2 linked regions of the Drosophila melanogaster genome follow. Changing the gene in region 2 together with the main gene of any one other region gives a genetic interaction. Each region holds a gene or a part of one and is shown on either strand. Other genes may lie near its edges.

Region 1 (9,828 bases), on a different chromosome or scaffold from region 2:
GTGCCAAACGGACAGAGAGAGCAATACAAGCTTGGTAAAAAAGAGTTGTCATGGAGCCGCGAACGAGCAGGGGCGTCCTTTTTCTGGGGTTTAAGGCAACTTAACCCAAGACCTAAATAAAACTGGTTAAGTTTTGTAAGAATTACGAAAATAAAGAAATATTTATGTACATATATGCATATTTGAAACACCTTTCGAAATAAATAAGTTCTTTTAAATAAAATGAATTTTTAATTCATCATTAGCCAACTTATTAACTAACGATATGTAAAACGATTCAATATGCAAAGCCCCTTCTGTAGTCTAAGCCACTGCTGAAAAAGGGAGCAAAACACAATGCAGCTGGAAAAAGTGGGGAAAATGGCAGGAAAATGCAAAAAATGTGGAAAAAATCAAGGAAAAGCCGGGGACGAAGGCTCACCAGAGGAGCCAAGTCTCCCTCCGACCATTCAAGCCGACCGATGCCACGCGATACCCTACAACCGAATGGCGCGGCATATGCCACTTCAAAATGGCCGCCAATTATGCGAAATACCCAGCCGGAGTGCGTTTTTTACATATCAAATGGGAACAGATCTAAAAACTGGTTCCTGGCTTCCTGCCCGCTATCCAAAAGGGGTCGCAATCGCATTAAGGACGCACTCCTCGGGCGGACTTAACGGATTTCCAGCTCTAATCTGCACATTGTCTGCCCATCGGAAGTTCGAGGGCATGTGTGTGTGCGGAGCGTGCTGGCTGTATATAGCCGCGATTTCGATATATCTAAGTATGTACAATATATACCCATTTACAAAGCCAAAAGTTGCAGTTCAGAAGTTAGCGCCGGGGAGGCATGGGAAAGCGGGTTTCATAATAACAAAAGGGGGTGGGGAGGCATTATAAAATGGAGGATCGGTTGGTGGGAAAACGTATTTAATCGAGGACAGATCGACCTTCTGCAGAGGGCGGCCGATGCGTTGAGAGCTAACCCGTTTTAGGCATTTCAAAATTCAGTTTTGTACTCAAAACAAAAATAAACAGAATAAAGAAATGATCCCCTATCAACACTTTCAGTAAATTTAAAATAGGAAAAAACAGGCAGGTCTCGAATGAAAAACCATAAATCACATGATTCGTATTGATGGAAAACTTACTATAAATATCAAAAGATAATATAAAACGATGCCGATGATCACGAAAAGTGTCCTTTGATCAAAAACAGCCCAAAACATAACCGAAGAACCTTTGTTGTGCCAACAAATGTAAACAACTTGCACACTCCTCCGACTTTTCTTTACTGTTTCCCGTTTTTTCGGGAGTTTTTTGTAAACAATTTGTAGGGGACATGTGTAACAATCGCCAGAGATCATTAGGATTTCAACGCCGATCGGACAGCTGCATATTTTCCCCCACCAATTTTCGCCTCTTCCATTTTCCCTTGGCTAATTGTCGCGGGCCCAAAAGAAAGTCCATTCAAAATGGTTACGGATCGTTCCTGCCAAAAATCCATTGTTCTTAAGTAAATAGAGAGGGGCCAAGTCAACGAAAACTGAGGAAATATATATGTATGTGCACACAAGGAGCACAAATGATCGCTGAAAAATCCATGACATGTGTCCCAAGCAATCCAAGGATCCTGGGATTCGGCCAAGATGGAGTAGCGCACACGGGCCAAAGAACAGCTGGCAGTCGGAAAAGTGTGTGGAAAACGGTGGAAAGCCAGCCAATGCATGGCCACCTAACCAAAACACAATTTTGTGGGAGTGTCGCAAAGGCAAAGAATAAAAAAAAAAAGAAAACCAAAAAAAAAAAAAAAAGGAAAAGGTAAAAAGAAAAACAGAAGGAAACCCGAAACACACTCATTCCCCGTTTTTCACCACACGAAAGAAAATAAAAAACACCCCCAGAACGCAGAAAAAAAATCACTCAAACAAGCGTTTTCCAATGGAAAGTGGTGAACCGGCTGTGGTGTAATTTTTTCCGAGGGTTGAATGACGTCGCCAGCGGGGGAGGGGGATGGGGAGGAGCGGTCGGAAGCCGCTGCCGACGTCGCTGCCGACGTCGCTGCCGGCAGCACTGCCAGCGCCACAACCAAAACAACAAACCACAATTCACTTACACAACGCCGCAGCCGCAGTCGCAGTCGGTCCGCTGCCGCCGCGCTGCCCGCTTTTCCGCTTTTCCACTGCTGCCTTTTGTAAATAAAGAAGAATGCGCAAATTGGCGGCACAAATTGTTAAATACACTTTTCAGTATATTTTCAAATATATTCATAACGAAATAATAAGTTTGTTTTCCCTAAAAAAAAAAAACAAAACATTTATGCACGTTTTATAATACTTTACAAATATTTGTTGAATAAATTGATTATTGTATTTATTATAAACGCTTTTGAGCTATTAAAAGATATTTAATTTTTTACTACAAAATATGTTTCATGCTTAAATTAAATAATTTAAATTGAATTTCAGTTTCACTTTATACAGATGCTTAGTTAAAACAGTTTTTCGTCGTTATAATCGTTTCAAAAACGCATCAATATTGTTATTGTTCACTTGTCATTTGAAATAGTTAAACTAACCAAACACCGAAGGGTACAAAAATGTTCCTCGATTGGCAGTCGCTTTTGTTTTTTATTCTCCTGTGGCAGTGAGCATTTCCCCTGCGCCACTGGAATTTCCACGGTGCCAGAGTTTTCCGCTCTCTGTCGGTAATTTTTGTTGGGGGTTCTGGGGTTCTCCGTGGTCAATGGCTCCTGGCTCCTGGGATCCCTGTGCATTCAGTATAGCCTGGATAACGGTTGTGCGAGGAGCTCCATGAGGAGAGGCGGAGCCACGATCGGCGCAGCCGTCTCGTTCTCTCCCATAACGATCGCCCTACTAATAAATCATCCCCTCTTGGATGTCAGCTATTTCCGTAGCATCTGCTCGCCAACGGTTGGCCGATCTCTGCGGTTACCCCAGCCCCTCGAGCGTAGGTGCCTCTCTTTCGTTCGCCTGGTGCCGTCTCTTTCTGCGAGGGGGAGGGATCTTGCGCACGTATATGAATAATTCAACTGATCGCCGTGGTGATTGGGGGATGAACGGAGTACTGGTTTGTCCGTTCCTCGGAGGTGCGGAATGCACAGATCGTAGTTCTGATACCCATTCATTTCGAGGAAATTTATTCAGGAACGTCACGGTATTTGCATAAGTGAAATCGTATCTCACAGTTAGCAGCCTGTATCGTAGATTGATTACTAAAATACTTTTCTAAATAATCTGCACTAAGATATAGTTCAGATTGCGTAAGATCGGTAAGTACAGAAGCTTTTAATCGCACTGGAAGTTTTATTTACCGCTCACGACATTTGCATAGATGAAACCGTATCTTACAGATTCAAGTAGCTTGCGTACTAAACTACTGTACAAAAAATATCTGCACTAAGAAATAGTCGGGAGTGATTTTTTATGGTGAAGTACAGAAGTAAATTCAGCTAATTAAGCCTCGCTCTTTTTTGTTTTAAATTAACTGCTCAACAGCAGTGAGAAAAACATTGCATATATTGAGTACATGAATACAGGTTACTGTCGCCTTAATCTCCCATCGGTTAATCCCGCTAAAAAGCGAAGTCCTTTGAGTTTTTGGTGGCCAGGTAGGCACTTTCCGTATCAGATGCTCGTTGCTTATTTTTTGGGAACATATTTTATGGCCCGTGGCGGCGGCTAATCGGCCAAAATATTTGCGGGGCGTGCTGCTTAATCCGGGCGATTGACTTTCATAAGCAAAGGATTAAGATTGCGCGGTTGGACTACCTGTTTTGAGGTGCGATATCAGTACATGCGATGGTACATCTGAGGGCCAGGTACGTCAAAGCCAGTAAACCCATAGTTTTCCCACTTTTTTGGGGCCGCAAAAAAGCATCGGAGGGCCCATAAAAAAAGGGTTGATCCTTTTGGCTGCTGTGGGCTCGTAGCGAGTTCGGTATGGAGATCAGGTACTGCCTGGTGCTCGGTGATCCCTATGAGGCGGTCCTGCGGGTCCTGCGATGCGCGTGCTGCGGCAGCTCCTGTCGCAAATTGCCAAGGAATCGCAGCAGGATCCAAGAAGCGACGACAGGAGCGCTGATTTCCCGGGAAACCGGCAATCGTCAATCGGCCATCGGCAATCGCGTCCTTGTCGCACGCCCGCTAAACCTGCGCTGTCCTGCCATATATCCCGGGGCTATATGGTGTGAAATCGGTGTAGGGACACGAGGTCCTTCGCAGCGAGCGGCCGCGCACGTACAAAAGGCAGCGCTGCCGATACACTGGATTTACTGGAAGTGTGCGTCTATAATGTCCAGCTGAGAGCGGCGCGTTCTCGCGACATTTTGGTTGGTCTTGCCTCGTAGTTCCCCTACCAGAATGGCCATGCTCCCCATTCCTTCTCCTCCTCCTCCACGCGGTGCCTGGAAGAGTCCGCCACCTCGGAAAACTCGCGGGTCCTGTGTGGCCTCGTTTTTAAGGTTGTTTTGGTGGGCCGCAATTTTTTGGCCAGTCAGGCACTTGATTTGCGTTCCACTGCACGAAATGAGTGTTGAAGGAATTGAGAATATTACTTTAAATTGTCAAGTCAAGTGTCAAGTGTTATTCAGCAGCTCTTAAGAATTAATACACAGTTAATCCATTTTACATTAAGTTAATTAAATCGTTCATATTTCGTTTTTGAAGCTAAGTTTCGTAATCTGAATTACTATCTATGTATGTGCTAATCACTTAGCCAATCGCTAAGCAAAATGTACAAATCTTAAAACCTAAGTAAACGTAGATTAGTTTGAAGAGAGTTCAATGTAGGCAGCCAAAGATACTCGATGTTCTTCCAAGTATGACACTTCCGCATCAGATTAAATCCGATCAGCTAGCTAAACCTGATCCAATCAAGGATCGGCGATCGCAGGCAGCGAAAATGGAAATGAAATCGAGCCGGATTGCGCCACACGAACTGAGAGGCGCACAAATATTTACAGGACTAATCGCAGGATAATCGCCCGATCAGCATTAGGATTAAGTTCGATCCCCGGAGAGATCGATGGCACTGCATCTTAGATAGTACTGGAAGTGGACCGGACCTGACAATGGGTGTTAGTTGGACAGATTCAGATCGGAGATTGCAGATCAGTTGATCGAGTTCCGAGTTCCGAGATCGGCGATAAAGTAAATTTTGGGCGGAATCGAGAAAAACATTGAGCAACACTGAGGGATCAGTGTGCCGTAATATGATCAGCCGGGGATTTCTGATTATTTTGAATGAAACACTAATTTTTGGGACATTTTCGAACAATGGGACGCACTGTTATGCACGTGTATATGTTTATTAATTAGATCTGATCTTAAATTACTTAACTTAACTTATTTGAAATGAAATTATATGGATAACGTTGATGCATATTCAAAAAAAAAAAAATTAACACTGGAAATGATTAGTTTTTTGAACAGATTATTAAAACGATTTGTAGCACTAATAATGATGTATTTAAAATATCGTGCTTATGTTGATATATATATTATATATATATATATATATATATTATTATATTTATTATATTTTTTTCGGCATCTTCATCTTAATCGATAAGATACCTTCGAAAGCAATTAAATATATGATAATAAATACAAATATAAAGGAAAATATAATTCATCTTATGATAGTATGGGATAGTGTGTACTATATGTACTATAGATTATTATCATAATTGAAAATCCCATGTTCCAAAATTTTCCAAACTCCACAATCGTATCACCCATGAAATTAAAAGGCTTAAATCCTTTTATCCCAAAGTCATAGTGATATAGCTCTCCTGATGCTTGTGATAATATTTATGATAATTTCGCAACCTGATCCCTCCTCGCACTGACTAATTGAGTCCTCATGTCCTGTCGGCAGGACGCCCCTGGCATCCTAGCTACTCGGGAAAGGGAAGGCAAGGGAACGAGAAGGAGATGGTGAAGGGAACCCCCCGTTTGGCCATGGGTGCCTACCTGTACCACCCGCCCCCGCCCCCCTCGACGAACCCCTCCGCAGGAGGGCCGCCAAAACACGCGCGCCGCTGGAAGTGGAAAATGGGAAACTGTTGCACGGCCGTTTTTCTTTTGGCGTGCGTGGCGAAAAAATAAAATTCAAAGCGAAGAAAAGGAAAACGCACACAATTTCCAGACCGCCCGTGGGGAAAAGCGAGAGAGGAAGCGAGAGCCAGAGCGAGAGAGTGGAAAAGTCTCGGTGTATTTCTTTTTTGAGTTTTTCTTTGGTGCAATTTCCAGGCCATCACTCTCTCTCTCTCTTTCTCGCTCTCGCCCATGCGATTTTCCTTTTTTCCGCTGTTATTTTTTCCTTTTTGGCCACAAGTAACAAGCGACTTCTCTCTCACGTACACAGGCACACTAACACGACAGCCAAACACACACACACACACAAACACACAGAGAGACCGCAATGGAAAAATGGGAAATTTTTTGCTGTGGTTGTTGTTGCGGCGGCAATGGTGGTTGCTCGATATACCGATATATACCTGCCCCGGCACCCTTAAAGGCGCGCCTGTGTGCGTAGGTAGCCAACCACACCACCATACCGCCCAGGATAATGGGCGGGAAAGAGACGGCGCTAGCGCCGTGCAAGTGGGACGGGGCACAAACGCCGGCAGAGCCGTCGACAGAGGCGGCGAGCAGCGCATTCCACTTTAAATACTGCCAACGATCGCAGCAGAGAATCAGTTCACTCAGCGACTTTAGCGTGTCGAGAACGCACAGAGAAATATATCGTTTTCGACTTTGGAAAACAGAAACAGGCTCGAAAGAAGCAGAGTTCGAAATCGCGAAACAATCCAATAACAACAAACAAACGAATTTTTTCCAAGTGACCCCCGATAAAGTGAAGTGCATACCGAGAATCCGCAATAGAAAACCGGCAATTGTCGACAGCCCCAGGATTACGGCTACGATTTCCACATTCGGATACGAGATGCATCTGCCAGCGGGTCCAACGATGGTGGCCAACAACACACAGGTCCTGGCCGCTGCCGCCGCCGCAGCAGCCGCCGCAGCGGCCGCGGTAGCCCAGGGTCCTGGGCCGCAGCAGAGTAGCAATGCCACCACCGCCTCCGCAATCGCCATCAATCCCGCCCAGAGTCTGGCCAACACGAGCACCCACTCGGCCAGCAGCACGGGCAGCTCCACACCAGATCTCAGCACGAACAACACCAGCTCGAGCAGCAACGCCACCACCAGTCCGCAGAACTCCGCCAAGATGCCCAGCTCGATGACCGACATGTTCGCCAGCCTGCACGAGATGCTGCAGGAGTATCACGGCGAGCTGGCCCAGACCGGATCGCCCTCGATCCTCTGCAGCGCCCTGCCCAATCACTGGCGGTCGAACAAGTCGCTGCCCGGAGCCTTCAAGGTGATCGCCCTGGACGACGTGCCCGATGGCACCCTGGTGTCCATCAAGTGCGGCAACGACGAAAACTACTGCGGCGAGCTGAGGAACTGCACCACGACCATGAAGAACCAGGTGGCCAAGTTCAACGATCTGCGCTTCGTGGGACGATCGGGACGCGGCAAGTCCTTCACGCTGACCATCACCATTGCCACCTATCCGGTGCAGATCGCCAGCTACAGCAAAGCCATCAAGGTGACCGTCGACGGGCCACGGGAGCCAAGAAGTAAGCAAAGTGAGTTTTTTAGTTTCCATTATGTTTTCAGTTTAATCCACTCCCAAAGATCCCCAAAAAACCAATTCAGAAACCGTTTGCATATCTTCAATTACAATATTCATAGTTTTGAAAACATTTGCCAACACTAACTAGTTATGATCTTAAATAACTAATGCCATTTTTAAGCTCAACTTTAAATGATCAGTCTGTTTTGAAATGATTGCATTGATCACTTTATCTTAAAGATTTTATCATTATTTTTGCTTATCCTTTTGCAATTCGGTTTTGATACACATATCCAAGGATCTTGAGATCCATTGCCGCCAACCAAATCCCCCACCATCCCCCCAACCTTTTTAAAAACGCATTCCGATGAAATACGAGTTGTGCTTTACTGACTTCCCGCCCTTTTTCTTTATCCTTCCAGGCTATGGCTATCCCCATCCCGGCGCGTTTAACCCGTTCATGCTGAATCCCGCTTGGCTGGATGCGGCGTACATGACCTACGGCTATGCGGACTACTTCCGCCACCAGGCAGCCGCCCAGGCGGCCCAGGTGCATCATCCGGCACTGGCCAAGTCCTCGGCTTCCTCGGTGTCGCCAAATCCCAATCCATCGGTGGCCACCAGCTCCTCGTCGGCGGTTCAGCCATCTGAGTATCCCCATCCGGCGGCAGCAGTGGCAGCGGCGGCGGGACAACCGGCGGCCATGATGCCATCGCCACCGGGAGCGGCGCCTGCCACGCCCTATGCCATTCCGCAGTTCCCATTCAACCATGTGGCCGCCGCAGCCGCCGCCAAGGCAGCCACGCCACACGCCTTCCATCCGTATAACTTTGCCGCGGCAGCTGGCTTGCGGGCCCGCAATGCTGCCCTGCACCACCAGAGCGAGCCGGTCCACGTCAGCCCCGCCTCCTCCAGGCCCTCCAGCTCCTCGCCCACCCAGCAACACGTCCTGCTGAAGCTAAACACCTCCATCGAGACGAGCTCCATCCACGAGCAGTCCGCCAGTGACGGCGACTCCGACGACGAGCAGATCGACGTGGTCAAATCGGAGTTCGACCTGGACAAGAGCCTGGATGTGGCGCCACTTCGCATGCGCTGCGACCTGAAGGCGCCCTCGGCCATGAAGCCGCTCTACCACGAGAGCGGTCCTGGAGCGGTAGCCAACAGCCGCCAGCCGTCGCCGGAAACGACCACCAAGATCAAGAGCGCCGCCGTGCAGCAGAAGACCGTGTGGCGGCCCTACTAGGGCATCTGATCCCCAAAAATCTGGAGGAATGAAGAAAACAAAGTGATATAACAGCGGCGACGCAGAGCGGCAAGCGGGCAAAAATTATAATTGTGATATAGTGTTATAAGTTACGACGCCTCCGGCCGGCAAACGGAGCAGCCTCATCAGTGGGATAGAAGGATAAACGGCAGCGGGAGCAGCAGCATCAACTAGCTGAGCAAAAGTTATGGATAGAGGATAATGGATAATGGATATAGGACAAAGGACCCCAATCCTGGAAATCAGACTCCGGCGAAGTTTTATGCTCGGACTCATAAAATCGTGCGACGAGTTTGAATCACAGGCCCTCGATTTTCACCAGGATTTTTTACAAATCCCAGCAGAAAACACGAAAACTCAAAAACTCAGCCCAAAAAGAAAATACCAAGAAAGCAAACTTTAGTTCAATTTCATTTCAACACAAAACAACAACAACACAATTTGTACATAGCTAACTAGTTGTAACACTCATAACTTTTTTTTTTTGAGAACCTATTTTTTTCGATGGATAATATGCGAATTTAGCTATTTTTAATCATTATGTTTAACTAGTCGTCTAAGCGAGAAATCAATTTTTTTGTCTAGCCATAAGTTTTAGCGCGAAAAGAGATCTAACACAAAAATCGAATTTGAAACAAAACCAAATAAAAAACAAAAATCACACACAAAAAGTATTTACAAAAATATGAAGTATTTGTTTTCATTTCTCAAAAGGTTTTCCCGATACTTTTAGGAAATCCCTTTCAGCTTAACTACGAAACATTTGAAAACTATCCAATCCCTGAATCAAAATGAAAAGCCATTTTTTCTTTTAATTAAAGTTTCCATAATATTTCTTAGATTCTAACTTTTTAGGATTCCACCTTAATGAACTAAAACGCCTATTTTAATTTGGATTTACCCTTTCAAAA
Region 2 (5,450 bases):
GCGCAGCTGCAGCTGATCCTGCTCCATGGGATCGTCCTCCTCGAAGTTGGTCTCGGTGTAGTTATAGCAGTTCTTGTGCTTGCGCAGCAGGGCCGCCTCCTCGTTGTCGTCGCTGGAACTGGCCACCGCATAGTCGTCATCTTCGTCGTCATTTTGGCCACTGCTCGATGGCAGTTCGCCATCCCGCGGTTGCCTGGGCATGCTGTTGTGAGGCTGCTGCTTGTTGAACAGCACGTTTAAGTACTGGATCTTCTGCTCAGCATTGCCGTCTAGCTGGGTAGTCGTCTGATTGAGCAGTCGCTTGTGTACCTTGTCCTTGGATGACTCCAGTTTGTTGGCGCTGTTGTTTAGCAGAAGATTATGCACTGGCCTCTGCTCCACATAATTCAGATCCTCCGCCGTGAAGAGGGCGCTCTCCTTGTCCATCTTGTTCGCATCCGAAACGTTGACCCTCTTCTGCTGGTAGAGCTCCGCCAGCTTGAGACTCAGCGCGTTCTTGATGCACTGTTCCCGGAATGTGACGGCATGCTTGAGATAGGAGATGCACGGCGCACATATGTTGCGTGGCAGTCCGTCGTCCGTGGAGTTCTGCGGTCGGTCGAAAGAGGAGGCACTCATATAAACATTTATCTGGCTACTTTAGAATGGAGTCACTTACTTTCAGGCCCGTCGTCTCCTCCAGCAGAACGTTTATGGGCTTTTGCCAGTTGAGAAACTCGTTTGTGGAGCCGTGCAAATACGTGGGAATCTTGGCGAATATCTCGTAGTCTGCGGGGCTGCTGCAGATGCGGCAGATATTGCCCCACGACGTCATACTTATGGCAAACCTTAAACTTAATGCTTATGCCGGAAAAAATAAACAATGACAATTTTCAACACTCCGGCGAGTGTTGCCCTACCACTGAAGGTTCAAAACTCAACAGTCCACCCACTTGCGGCAGTGATGTCCAGTTAGCTATAACAGGATTACAGCAAATTTTTTGAATATTAATTATTATTAGCTAAACACGTGACAGATATATTAATGACTAAGACGATAGTTTATTTAAGCATAAATAATACTGTTGAAAATACAAACGTAGATTTATTTGATATATATTTACAAAGCTAGATTTTATTAACACCAATTGGCAACAGTGGCCAACAGTCTGTTAATGCTCTTGATCTAGCTGAACTCGGGGGTCACACTGGTGCCCATCTGGAATTGCATAAACAAACCTCGCTACTGGAATAAAATCACAAATATGTCGTTTAATATCATGCAAAAGCTGACCATGCAGTGCCTGAAGGCAGACCAGCCGCTGATGAGTAAGGACTTCCCACGAACCGGTTGCATATTCTAATCAATTCAATCCCATTTAGCCACCGTGCGCAATGCCAGCAAGAAAACCGGCGGAAGTACGAGGAATAAGAAGGGCCATGCGAGGCCCAAACATCGCGGATGGCGCGTCCAGGATGGGCACCACGTCTCCGAGGGCACAATACTGGCCACCCAGCTCACAACGCGCTTTCATCCGGGCCTGAATGTGAGTAGCGCAGGAAGGAGTTATCCCGGCATATTTTTATACTTTTTCCCATTGAAAGGTGGGCTTTGGCCGCAATGGAACCCTTTTCGCCATGGAGCACGGCAAGGTTTATGTGACCTGCGAGGCCATCGATCCCAACTGGGACCACACCTGGATTCAGCGGAACTACGCCGGTCGCCAGGGCCAGAACATCTACAAGAAGTTCTTCAATGTTGTGCCCGAAAATCAGCATCAGCGATTTCGTCTAGTGGAGGAAATCTAGATTGTTAAATACAAAATTTAAACCAAATGGAAATGTGAATATTTGAATTTTTGGCAATTAACATCGATGTGCTTAACAGCACCTGTTATATTTACATGCCAGCACGACCGTTATACAGCACTGTATTTAGCAATGCTCTGAACCAACTATCGAATACACGCCCCGAATTTGAAAAGAAATCCAGTTAATAGCCAGATATCAATGCAACATTTTCGATTATTAATTTCGCAAAACTTTTTACATTGCGAACTTCAAAAACAAAAACTACACTTCCCCCTTTTTTAGCCAAGCCGAACGCTATTGAACTGTAAAATGAACTTTAATAATAAGCCATAATCATCTATAAGAAATTATAAAATTATGCACATGACGGTATAGGCACTGCCTACAGAATTTCGCTTAAATCAAGTACACGTTTTATCCTATGAATGTAAAAACTTATTTAGTATTGTTGTAGTGAAATTCAATTTAACGCTTATATATGCAGTATTATGTTTAATTATTCATGATTATATATTTTCATAATGCATATAGACTTAAATTTATCTTAAATATAATGGTGTGTACGAGATATTTTTTCAGACTAAAATGGTAGTTAGGGGTATATGTTTTCTGTCCGGATGGTATTTCGTATTTTTTGTTATCGCCGCCGGGCGGTCACACTGCTACAACCGCAGCCAACTTCGCTTCTTTCTTTCCTACAATTTTAAAGATGGTGAGTGGACGTCGGTAAATGTGGTGCACCTAAAATGTGGTTTGTGGGCAGGCGAATGATGTGGAATAGAAATAAGAGCTCACTCAAAGTGCCGCAGCATGCCTGCCCACTGACTGCAATGGCCAAGTGAGCATAGCGACTGGAGCAAGTAAACATAACCTCCAGCACGTGGGTGAAAATGATTGAGGAATGCTCAATGAAAACACGTTTCTTTTCTGCTCTCCCTTACAGTCGAATATCAAGCGGAAGAAGACCAGGAAGCTGCGTGGTCATGTGAGCCACGGTCACGGCCGTATCGGCAAGCACCGCAAGCATCCCGGAGGTCGCGGTAACGCTGGTGGCATGCACCATCACCGCATCAACTTCGACAAATACCATCCTGGTTACTTCGGCAAGGTGGGCATGAGGAACTTCCATCTGCGTCGCCAGCACAAGTTCAGGCCCGAGATCAACCTGGACAAGCTCTGGTCCCTGGTCGGAGCCGAGAAGTTCGCCGAGCTGGAGAAGGAGAAGAGCACCAAGGCTCCCGTCATCGACTTGGTTAAATTCGTAAGTTTCGCCCGAATTCCCCATCCAGCTACGCGAACTCTGCTGCCGCTTTCAACATGAAGATACACCCAAGGCGATGGGCGGACAGAATGCTACCGTACAATTGCTCTCACCGTGTAGAGGACAGCCTTTCAGATCAAAGCCAGCAGTTCTTGAAGAGGATGTGCACCCGTTCTCACCCCGTTGTAACCCATTGTATTGACTCTGGTGTCCTTCTCATGTCTCCACAGGGCTACTACAAGCTGCTGGGCCGTGGTCACCTGCCCGCCCGCCCCGTCATCGTGAAGGCCAAGTACTTCTCTAAGAAGGCTGAGGACAAGATCAAGAAGGCCGGCGGTGTGTGCTTGCTGAGCGCCTAAGTTAAGGTGAGCTTGTGTGTCTAGCTGTCTTACCTATTCGTCGGCGAAGCAATGAAGTGCAGTATCCTAATTGCTATTGTTTCCCTTGCAGATTCCTCCTCTACAGAAGAAAAAAGCAAGTGGACTACATTCGACCATCAAAAATGTATTTGTTTTTTAATAAATTTAAAAGAAAAACAAGTATTTGCTATTCCGACAAAATGTGTTTACTAAAAGGTATTGGGGCTTCATTTTCTGCTCGCTTGGCGCAAGTTGTTTAGAACTTTCTATTTCTATTCCTGCTACAACTTTCCTTTATATTTTTATAAAGAATAATTTCTATATGGTTAGTTTGTTGTGGCAAAGGAAAACTTGTATTTTGAATCAAATAACAAGGGCAAATTTAAATGAGTTTGACAATATTAGAAGTATGCCTATTTTTGTAACTTAAGAGGAACAGTAATAATATAAAGAAAATAAATAGTAATTTAAAGAGTATAACTGCGTCGGTGCGCATTATCAGTTAATCCCTCCATTTTTAGCACTATTCTCGACTAGGCTTTTTGCGCCTTCGCAGCTACGGTCACACAGCGGCGGGCAGAAAGCTCGCGGAAAAATTCGGAAGAGGCGGAAAAGTACGAGACGCCCGATATTGCAAAAAGCGGAAGCAGATTACGTGTAGGTCAAGGCCGTAGGGATGAGGGCAACTTCCATCTTTGACCTTGCTGTTGGTGATGGGGTGCGGCGACCTTGGGTCAAGGACACGACCGAACAAGAGGCACCGAATCCAGGAAACGTAGTCAAAGTGGAGGGCATGCCTGTGTGGGCGGGGGATGTTCCAGTAAAAACAAAGTAACTTGATTATGACCTCTGTGTTGCAGTTAGGAAACGAACTTGTTGACTTTGTAACATTACATAATCGGAAGCCCAGAGTGAGGAGAACTGCTGCGAGATGGCCAACAAAGTGCTGCGAAAGGTGACGCACTGCGTCTTCGACATGGACGGTCTGCTGCTGGGTGAGTGCTGCCGTGCTTGTATCTGCTTTCTGTGTTAACTATTTGCCGAACAGACACCGAACGCCTTTATACTGTGGCCACCGAAATGATCCTCGAGCCCTACGGCAAGACATATCCCTTTGAGATCAAGGAGCAGGTCATGGGCCTGCAGACGGAACCGCTGGCCCGGTTCATGGTCGAGCACTACGAGCTGCCGATGTCGTGGGAGGAGTACGCACGCCAGCAGCGCGCCAACACCGAGATCCTGATGCGGAACGCCCAGTTGATGCCAGGTACTAATCCCAGTTCTCGCTTTGCCGTCACGTTTCAGACACGGAGAGGATATACGAGGAGGTCACCCGGCAAATAGCCGCCTCCTTTGGCCGCCCGTATCCGGAGGAAGTGCGTTTCCGGGTAATGGGCACCACGGACCAGCGCTCGGCAGAGATAGCCATCACCGAGTGCCAGCTGCCCATCACAACCGGAGACTATCTCAAGCGGTACTCGCAAATGTGCCACGAGCGATTCCACAACGTACCCCTGCTGGAAGGTTAGCACCACGACCAGAAAACTAATCGGCATTTCTCCCTATAAATACTTCTGCTTCAATTACTATCCTACTGTGATTAAAGCCGTTTGTTAATCGTGTGCTTCCTTCCCCGTTCAAGGTGCTGAGCGCCTGCTGCGTCACCTGCACGCCAACAAGGTACCCTTTTGCTTGGCCACCAGCTCCGGCGCCGACATGGTCGAGCTGAAGACGGCCCAACATCGGGAGCTGTTCTCCCTGTTTAACCACAAGGTGTGCGGTTCGTCGGACAAGGAGGTGGTCAACGGCAAGCCTGCGCCCGACATTTTCCTAGTGGCCGCCGGCAGATTCGGTGTGCCGCCCAAACCGTCCGACTGCCTGGTGTTCGAGGACTCGCCGAACGGCGTGACGGCTGCCAACAGCGCCGGAATGCAGGTGGTGATGGTGCCGGACCCACGACTGTCCCAGGAAAAGACCTCGCACGCCACACAAGTGCTGGCCTCGTTGGCGGACTTCAAGCCGGAGCAGTTCGGGCTGCC

Evidence for each region. Genes that interact genetically often act in the same process or in processes that back each other up.
Region 1: of RpL27A (region 2) and run, changing one enhances a phenotype caused by changing the other (phenotypic enhancement), as found in Drosophila melanogaster (one study listed by BioGRID).

The regions. Positions count from the first base shown.
Region 1 is NC_004354.4:20,687,739-20,697,566, forward strand, and holds run (runt), read left to right. Parts: upstream 1-2,931; 5' UTR 2,932-3,274; intron 3,275-6,372; 5' UTR 6,373-6,954; coding exon 6,955-7,663; intron 7,664-8,072; coding exon 8,073-8,896; 3' UTR 8,897-9,583; downstream 9,584-9,828. UniProt on the Drosophila melanogaster protein: Plays a pivotal role in regulating the expression of other pair-rule genes such as eve, ftz, and h.
Region 2 is NT_033779.5:4,455,342-4,460,791, reverse strand, and holds RpL27A (ribosomal protein L27A), read left to right. Parts: upstream 1-2,427; 5' UTR 2,428-2,500; coding exon 2,501-2,503; intron 2,504-2,734; coding exon 2,735-3,052; intron 3,053-3,117; exon of another isoform or gene 3,118-3,189; intron 3,190-3,282; coding exon 3,283-3,411; 3' UTR 3,412-3,417; intron 3,418-3,502; 3' UTR 3,503-3,606; downstream 3,607-5,450. Other genes in the region: CG15435 (uncharacterized protein), read right to left, coding at 1-588, 659-814; mRpL27 (mitochondrial ribosomal protein L27), read left to right, coding at 1,260-1,308, 1,363-1,526, 1,585-1,788; Gs1l (GS1-like), read left to right, coding at 4,343-4,406, 4,460-4,678, 5,054-5,450.